2 linked regions of the Rattus norvegicus genome follow. The protein of the gene in region 1 interacts with the protein of each later gene in a biochemical or structural test. Links are inferred from orthologs where the notes say so. Each region holds a gene or a part of one and is shown in the gene's direction. Other genes may lie near its edges.

What was found.
Region 2: the proteins of Rdx (region 1) and Arhgdia form a complex in vitro, tested with the Homo sapiens proteins (2 studies listed by BioGRID and IntAct). The link is inferred for Rattus norvegicus from reciprocal best matches to the Homo sapiens genes RDX and ARHGDIA.

What each region holds. Positions count from the first base shown.
Region 1 is NC_086026.1:61,274,785-61,278,691, forward strand, and holds the start of Rdx (radixin), read left to right. Parts: upstream 1-1,007; 5' UTR 1,008-1,156; intron 1,157-1,338; exon of another isoform or gene 1,339-1,477; intron 1,478-3,907. UniProt on the Homo sapiens protein: Probably plays a crucial role in the binding of the barbed end of actin filaments to the plasma membrane.
Region 2 is NC_086028.1:106,353,998-106,357,904, reverse strand, and holds the start of Arhgdia (rho GDP-dissociation inhibitor 1), read left to right. Parts: upstream 1-1,557; 5' UTR 1,558-1,611; intron 1,612-1,697; exon of another isoform or gene 1,698-2,149; intron 2,150-2,762; 5' UTR 2,763-2,784; coding exon 2,785-2,974; intron 2,975-3,104; coding exon 3,105-3,188; intron 3,189-3,409; coding exon 3,410-3,486; intron 3,487-3,565; coding exon 3,566-3,629; intron 3,630-3,715; coding exon 3,716-3,907. UniProt on the Homo sapiens protein: Controls Rho proteins homeostasis. Regulates the GDP/GTP exchange reaction of the Rho proteins by inhibiting the dissociation of GDP from them, and the subsequent binding of GTP to them.

The sequences.
Region 1 (3,907 bases):
CATATTTGTATTGAAAGTTCGTTTACGAAAGAGATAGTGAGTTAAGCACTGTAAATGGAATGCAGCAGGCTAGTAAGGTTTGAACCGTTGCTGTGTGTACAAGTTACACCAAGTGTTACTCCAAATCCCAGCAGAAAGTACCAAGGGCTGGCAGCACCGAGATAACCTCAGAAGAAGCCAGCCACTGTGTCTCTCTAGTGAGTGGATACAGTGAGATGATGGTCAGACTGTTAACTTTCTCCAAGTCTACAATAATTTAGGGTTGGCTGTTCTTTGGGCCCTACTTCCAACTTTTTCTTCCTAACCTACTCCTTCTAACTGCCAAGGAGTATCACTGCTAACACCACCACCATCAAATAATCCGATCTCATTATGGGGTTATACCCACTGACGTTTTGATGGAACTTAAAAAACACTGCAAAATTAAAACCAGCCAGCCTTTCTAGTTGGTTAAAAATCCGCATAAATTAATGTTCTTTTGTTGCAAACACTGGGCCTATTTCCCTCTCCTAGCCCGGGATCCTGCAGCCTAGCACCGAACTACACCCTGGAGCGGCTGCCCGGTTCCCCCTCCTCCTGGGAACAGCTCCACCTCGGGGGCGCTGGAAACGCCCTCCGTGAGTTCCCTGGCACCAGCGGGAGTTTCAAGTTTCCACGCGCGGGGCGGGGGCTGGCGGCGGGCGCACGGCGAGCTTCGGGCCGCGCGGCTCCGCTTCGTTCACTGCGGGCTTCGGACTCGGGCTGACCCGCGGCGTCCTCGTCCCTCGGGAAGGCTTCGGGAAGGCTTCGCGAAGGCCCCGCAGCGCGTCCCCCGGCTGAGGCCCACTCCACTCCGCCTGTGGCGCCAAGCCCCCGGGGGCGGCCGGGGGACACGCTCTCGCTGCGGCCGCGGTGTTGGCGCTCGAGTCCCGGCCTCGCCCCGCCACTGGCGGGCCGCGGGAGGAGGGGGCGCGGGGCGGCCCCGCCTTCCCCCCCGAGGAGGCGCCGGGCGGCCATATTGCCGAGCTGTCTGCGGCGGCTGCGGCGCGTCTTCTCTCAGGCGGCCCAGGGCTCGCACCGCCGACTCTCCGCTCGCTCGCCGCCAGCCGCGACGCCCCCGCCGAGCCCCGCCTCAGCCAGCCGGCGGCGGGCAAGGAAGGAGCCGCTCATTTTTGGGGTAAGCCCTGCTCGGCGCGCTCCCCGTCCCAGGCCCGGGTGCTGCTCTCCCCACCGAGGCGCTGAGGTGGCGGCCAGAAGTTGCCGGGCTGTGGCGCCGCGACCCGGGGCCTGGCGCGCCTCACAGACGGGCTCGCGCCTGGCCGCCCGAGAGGCGCCGCGATCGTTAACGGCTGAGCCATGCCACTCACCCGGAGTCTCCCGCAGCTCCGCGCCGCCCACCGTCGGCCTGGCCGCCCGGTGCGTCGGGCGGTGCGGGTTCCCGCCGCCTTGGACTGGGCCCCGGGCTCGGCCCGGCGCGCCCCCGGGGGCCGCGTGGAGCGTAGGTCGCATGCTCTCTCGCAACCCGGGGACGGGGGGCGGCAAGGCTAGAACTTCTCCCCCGGCCTCCTGTTTGAAAGTCGGGGTGTTGGATTACTAGAGAGCGTGCGGACACCCTAGCAGCGGAAAGGCCGTCGCGTTGCCCGGTCCCACCGTTCGAGCCCGCGAGGCCAGGCCCGAGCTCCCAGCCGTCTTTACCTGGGGCTGCAGTCGGCTGCCCGTGTCCTCCCGGTCCCCCGACTTGCCCGCTCCTCGGAGTCGCTGGCGCAGTGTTAGCAGACCCCCACCGGGAAACTAAGCATTTCTACCTTTCGGGGCTCCCAAACTCCCATCTCCCAGCTAAGTTAGAAAGGGAGCAGTACGTTATTTCAGTTGAAATAGCACGTCTGCACCTACACAGATGTTTCTGTAAACGTTGCCAGGATTCTGGGTGGTTTTGCCCCCCTCCCCAACCCCCCAGGAGTGGTTTTTCATTGGAAGTGTGTTTAGAGGTCAAGTTCATAATTTTTTTTTTAAAGTTCAGTTCAGATTTGTAAAAAGAGGAGTGAGAGAGATGCCTTGTTGGCTGTGTGGAGGCACCAAGATTTGCATGATGTAAATGTAAAAGCCCAAGATAACAAGGGTTCATGTGATGAAAGAGTACTTGGACACTGCAATCTATTGTTGACCAAGCATCTTTTTTTTTTTTTTATAGAATACTTATAAAACTGTGACGGAGCTCAGAATAAACAATTGCCCTGTTCATTTTGCTGCATAAATAATGGCTTAATCTGCTTGGCAAAACAGCCCCATCAGATCTGAAAAGAGAGCCTAATGTTTAGGACTGCGTTGTTGGTTTGTTTGTATCTTTAGAGTTTTGTCACTTGCACCAGGGTGTACCTTATCTTTCATAATAATTTCTTCAAATATGACAAAATGCAGACTCCTTTTCAAATTGTCAGTATGCTGTGAAAAGAACCACACTGGCTTTCTTTGCATAAATCCCTTTGAAAACTGTATTTTGGAACATAACTCCCGTTGTCACTAGGAAGTCTTTAGCTTGTCTACAGGAGAAGGAGTTTGATTGTGACACTTAGATGTGAAGCCCTTGCCTCTGTGGGTCCTACATACTGGTTTGCTCAAATGTAGCTTCATACAAGGAGAGAATGTAGGAGGAGCTCAGATGTTTGTAGGATAGATTTAATAGATTTTGCTGTGCGGAAAAACACATTAAATCTTAATTTTGTGGGAATTGTCGTTACCTGGGTGGAGATTACACAGCTTCATTTTTGTGCAGTGGTTAGGGACAACAGGTTTGCTTTCTGCCTCTCTTAGTAGCAGGCAGTAGTTGGGGTTTGGGGGTTGGGGGATGGGAGAAAAGTTCACCAACTGAGTTTTGTTCCTTGCTTCACCATTCCCAAGAGAAGAATTAATTATTAGCTAGTTTTTAATCTCTGGTGAGTGGTTGAAAGACTTAAAGATTTTTATTTTCAGTTTTTCAATCTCTTAATATAAAATTATGTACAGTCTGATATAGTAGGTTTTGAAATGTTGAGTGATGGTGAGAGTCCAGAATTTTCATTCATTTAAAACAACACATTTTAAGTTGAGCCATTTAAAAACGGGGTGGCAAATGTTAACTTTCTTTCCCCAAGGACCAGGGCTTTTAAAATCTTGTCCCATTGAGGTAGGGAAGGCTGAGCTGTGCAGAAGAGCATATCTGTGGGGCATAGGCAATAGTTTCCTGTTATTGGTACAGCCTGGGAGATTAAATCACTCTCTGGCTTGGGCCTCTCTCATTGCTGCAGTCTGGGAAGTAAGGAAATCACTCCTGGATGACTTGCACTGATGGGTACTACTTTACCCTGTTGATACCCTGAATAGGGAGCTGGATTAAGCTGCTGCCCCATAAGGTTATTTTAAGTTTCTAGACCATAGGTGTCACTAGAGGGTGTTCTGGGAAAGCCCTGACTTCAGACTCCAATAGGAAGCTCATCCAGTCTGTCCTCAGTTTTTCTGTTCTCTCTCATGTGTTTTACAGCTATCCAATCTGCCCTATATAATATACAAGTACTATATGCTTCTTAGTACTTATGGACGTATATTTTAAATCATTAAAAACACTATAAAAGGGCTGGAGAGATGGCTTAGAGGTTAAGAGCGCCGACTGCTCTTCCAGAGGTTCTGAGTTCAATTCCTAGCAACCACATGGTGGCTCACAACCATCTCTAATGGGATGCCCTCTTCTGGTGTGTCTGAAGACAGCTATAGTGTGTATGAATATGCATTAAATAAATAAATTTTAAAAACACTATAAAAATAATATACTCCATGGTAAAGTTATAACACCCAGAAAGATGTAAAGCCATAGAATAAAAAGCTCATCTTCATGCCCCAGAACTCTGCAGTCCTGTCCATGGCCCCATTTTTCATACAATTGCCTCATGTATAG
Region 2 (3,907 bases), on another chromosome or scaffold:
TACAGTGTACTTATATATAATAAATGAATAAATGAATCTTTAAAAAAATAAAATAAAATAAAAACGCTGCTTTGGAAGATTTGTGCTTGGAGCGTCAAACCAGGGAATTGTGGGTGGGACAGAGCTCAATAAAGCAGGCTCATCCAGTTGGAGTACCATGGGCCTCCTGAAAAGCTAGCCTAACACACTTGTGCACACCTGTGTGTAGGTTCAAGGCCAGCCAAATTCACCATATAGTAAGAGTGGAAATAATCAAGTGGTGAGGGCGTTTTGTTTTAAAATAGTTCGCCACCATAGGACAGCAGCCACCTGGAGGTGGGATAGCAGATCCATATTCCGTAGATATAAAAACACATGGACATTTGGTTTGCTTCAGATTGATGTGTGGCCAGAGGATACGTGCGTGCTTGTATAAAATAACCGGCCATGGGGTTGGGGATTTAGCTCAGTAGTAGAGCGCTTGCCTAGAAAGCACAAGGCCCTGGGTTCGGTCCCCAGCTCCGGAAAAAAAAAAAAAAAAAAAAAAAAAAAACGGCCATAACTAAAGATGGATGGTGAGGGCCATTTGATTCCTAATATCATCTTTTAAACTTCATGATTGGAGCCAACAGCTGTTTCTGAGATACTACCAGGGCGGGTGTGGCCAGCAGAGCAGGCCAGAAGTGATGGCTCTTGTGGGATTAAAATACAGAAATTTCTGCCTCCCCTCTGTCTGAGGTTACATTCGGGAGAAGCCACAATCGAGTGCCCTCATGGAGTAGCAGGAACTGAATCCTCAGGAGGAACTGAAGTGGCTGGCAAAAGCACACCACAGGAAGTCCCCCAGTCAGGCCCTCCATTAAAGAGGCCCTGGCCTTAAGGCTGTGAAATATGCCTGGTGGTGGTGATGAACACTTTTTTTTTTTTTTTTTGGTTCTTTTTTTTCGGAGCTGGGGACCGAACCCAGGGCCTTGCGCTTCCTAGGCAAGCGCTCTACCACTGAGCTAAATCCCCAACCCCAGTGATGAACACTTTTAATCCCAGCATTCTGAAGGCAGAGGCAGGCGGATCTCGGTTAGAGGTTAGCCTGGTCTACAGTGAGGTCCAAGATAGCCACACTGTTACAAAACAAAACAAAAATAACTTTCTCAAAATAGAAACTAAAAACAAACCAAATAACTCATAATATTCGGGGGTTCTGGAGGGCACATGGTTCCCAAAGCAATGCGCCAGGCGGCATAGGTACAAGGTACTGCTGCATCCGAGGACTGTGGTTCTGGTGATTCCCAGGACAATGGGACAAGAGCCAGGCACAACCATCAGGGAACCTTGGAAGCCCCAGAGTGACCGCGCGATCCTGCTCTGGAAGAGAAGACTCTCGTCTCACAGACACTCGTACTAGACATTCTACAGAAGCGCGAGGTCTCCCGCCCACGCGAGACGCGCCCACGAGGCCCGCAGCAAAATGGCGACGGCACCGACCCGCGCCCCCTGCCGGCGCATGCGCAAGGCGACCCCGCCCGCGAGAGCGGAAGTCTTGTGACCCCGGAAGTGACCGTCCGAGCGGCGGGCGGCGGACGACGTTCGTCATTTGGTGCGGGAGGGAGCGCGAGAGCGGTGGTCGAGCCTCCGGTGAGTGGGCGCGTGGCGCGGCACGGTGCGGCGCGGCGCGTGAGGGGAGTGGGTTGGCTTTGTGCGGCGACGCGGGCGACTGCGGCGCTCGCGGGCGGGGCGCGGTCATGGAGGCGGGCGGGGCGGGCCCGGGAGGCAGCATAGGTCCTGCCTGAGGGGCCGCCGCTGCCAGGGCCTGCGCGCCCGGTGCCAGTGAGACCCCCTCCCTCGGCCTCGCGGGCGGGGTCCGGCGCGGGGCCTTGCCCGGAGCTCCCGCCGCGCGGCCCCGCCCCGCTCGGATTGCGGGCCCTACGGAAGTGCGGGCCGCGCCCTGATGCTTTCGCCGGCGGCCACGCTTGGCGGCGTCGGGCGGGGTCGTCTGCAGCCTCTCGGTATCGGACCGCTGCTTTATGTGTTTCTTTGCCCGACACCTCTCAGAGGGACAACGGCCGGGCTGTCCCCCTGACCGCTGCGCGTCGCCTGCAGGCATTACAGTGGGTTTCTGAAAGACATTTGGGGATCTGCGGAACTGAACGGCATCTAGGCGCTTCCCGTCCGGGTTGGTTCTCCACCGCCACTGACGGTTTAGGGTCAAGGCCCAGAAACAGGTTCCTGAGATTTATCTGCAAGCGGTGTACCTGCTCCCAAGTTGCATACTCAGACCCTCACTAGGGGGAACAGACCTGCATATTTAGGATCTCCTTTGGGCTCTTGGGATTTAAGCGATCATCACATAGTTTAGCTTAGTACAGTATTCCATTGGCAGGAAGGAACAAACAGACCCTTGTCCTGCACGTGGCTAAGGTACAGAGCATCCCCCTGTAGGAGAACTTACCTCCGTGACCCAACCCAGTAAGATGAGAGCCTGGGCAGCTAGGGACAGCAGCAGGACCCCAGGGATTTAGCGTTGTGTCTGCCGGTTCAGTTTGTTGTGGAGGCGGCTTATTCTTCTTGGGGAGAAAAGATATTTTGCTTCTCTGAGGAACAGGCTGTGGTCCCATTTCGTTCCTTGGGGTGTAGCCCTCTCAAATGGACCTCTGGGTTCGGCAGTGACAGCAGCCTCCTCCTGTCTTCTCTCAAAAGTTCCCAGTGTCTTTCCCTGCAGGTGTCAGGGTCTGCCTAGGGTGGAATGCCTCCAGGCTGTCACAGTCCTGCTCATGCCCCACTCACAGGTGTCCCAAACTAGAGGTGAGCATGGCAGAACAGGAACCCACTGCTGAGCAGCTCGCTCAGATAGCTGCAGAGAATGAGGAAGACGAGCACTCTGTGAACTACAAGCCTCCAGCCCAGAAGAGCATCCAGGAGATCCAGGAACTGGACAAGGATGATGAAAGCCTTCGAAAGTACAAGGAGGCCCTGCTGGGCCGAGTAGCTGTCTCTGCAGGTAGGTGGGTTGAAGGAGGGATCCCACCTGACCCTGTTGCCACCTTCTTTCCATACCACTCTTCCAGGAAGTGAGCTGAAAAAAAAAATCTTAAGGATCAGAACTCTGACTCTTAACTCTCACTCTGCAGACCCCAATGTCCCCAACGTCATTGTGACCCGCTTGACCTTGGTGTGCAGCACTGCCCCAGGCCCTCTGGAACTGGACCTGACAGGTGAGTGGGTATTAGAGTCCCTGGGTGGGGCCAGCTGGCATCTTGCCACTACCCCTAAAAATAATTTTCTGCACTGATGCCCTCTGGTGGAGCAGAGGGGAAGTGCAGCTAAGGGCTTGCAAAGGCTCTGCTTTGTGTCAGGGAAGGAGCTAGGGAAAGTGGGTGTGGGGGCAGGGTGGAAAACCTTTCAAGCAACCAGCTGAGCCACCTCCTCAATACAGGTGATCTGGAGAGCTTCAAGAAACAGTCATTTGTGTTGAAGGAAGGTGTGGAGTACCGGATAAAAATCTCTTTCCGGGTAAGGAGAAGGCTTTGGGAAAGGGGGGCAGAGGAGCAAGAATGGGAAACCAGCTGACCCTGGTTCTGTGTCCCAACAGGTGAACAGAGAGATCGTGTCAGGCATGAAGTACATCCAGCACACATACAGGAAAGGGGTCAAAAGTGAGTGGGCGGGCCCATAGAGCGGGAAGCCAGTGGGCCTTGGAGGGACTTGTATCACCCGTAACTGTGCCTTTCCTGTCTCACAGTTGACAAGACTGACTACATGGTCGGGAGCTATGGGCCAAGGGCTGAGGAGTATGAGTTCCTGACACCCATGGAAGAGGCCCCCAAAGGCATGCTTGCTCGGGGCAGTTACAACATCAAGTCCCGCTTCACAGATGATGACAAAACTGACCACCTGTCCTGGGAGTGGAATCTCACCATCAAAAAGGAATGGA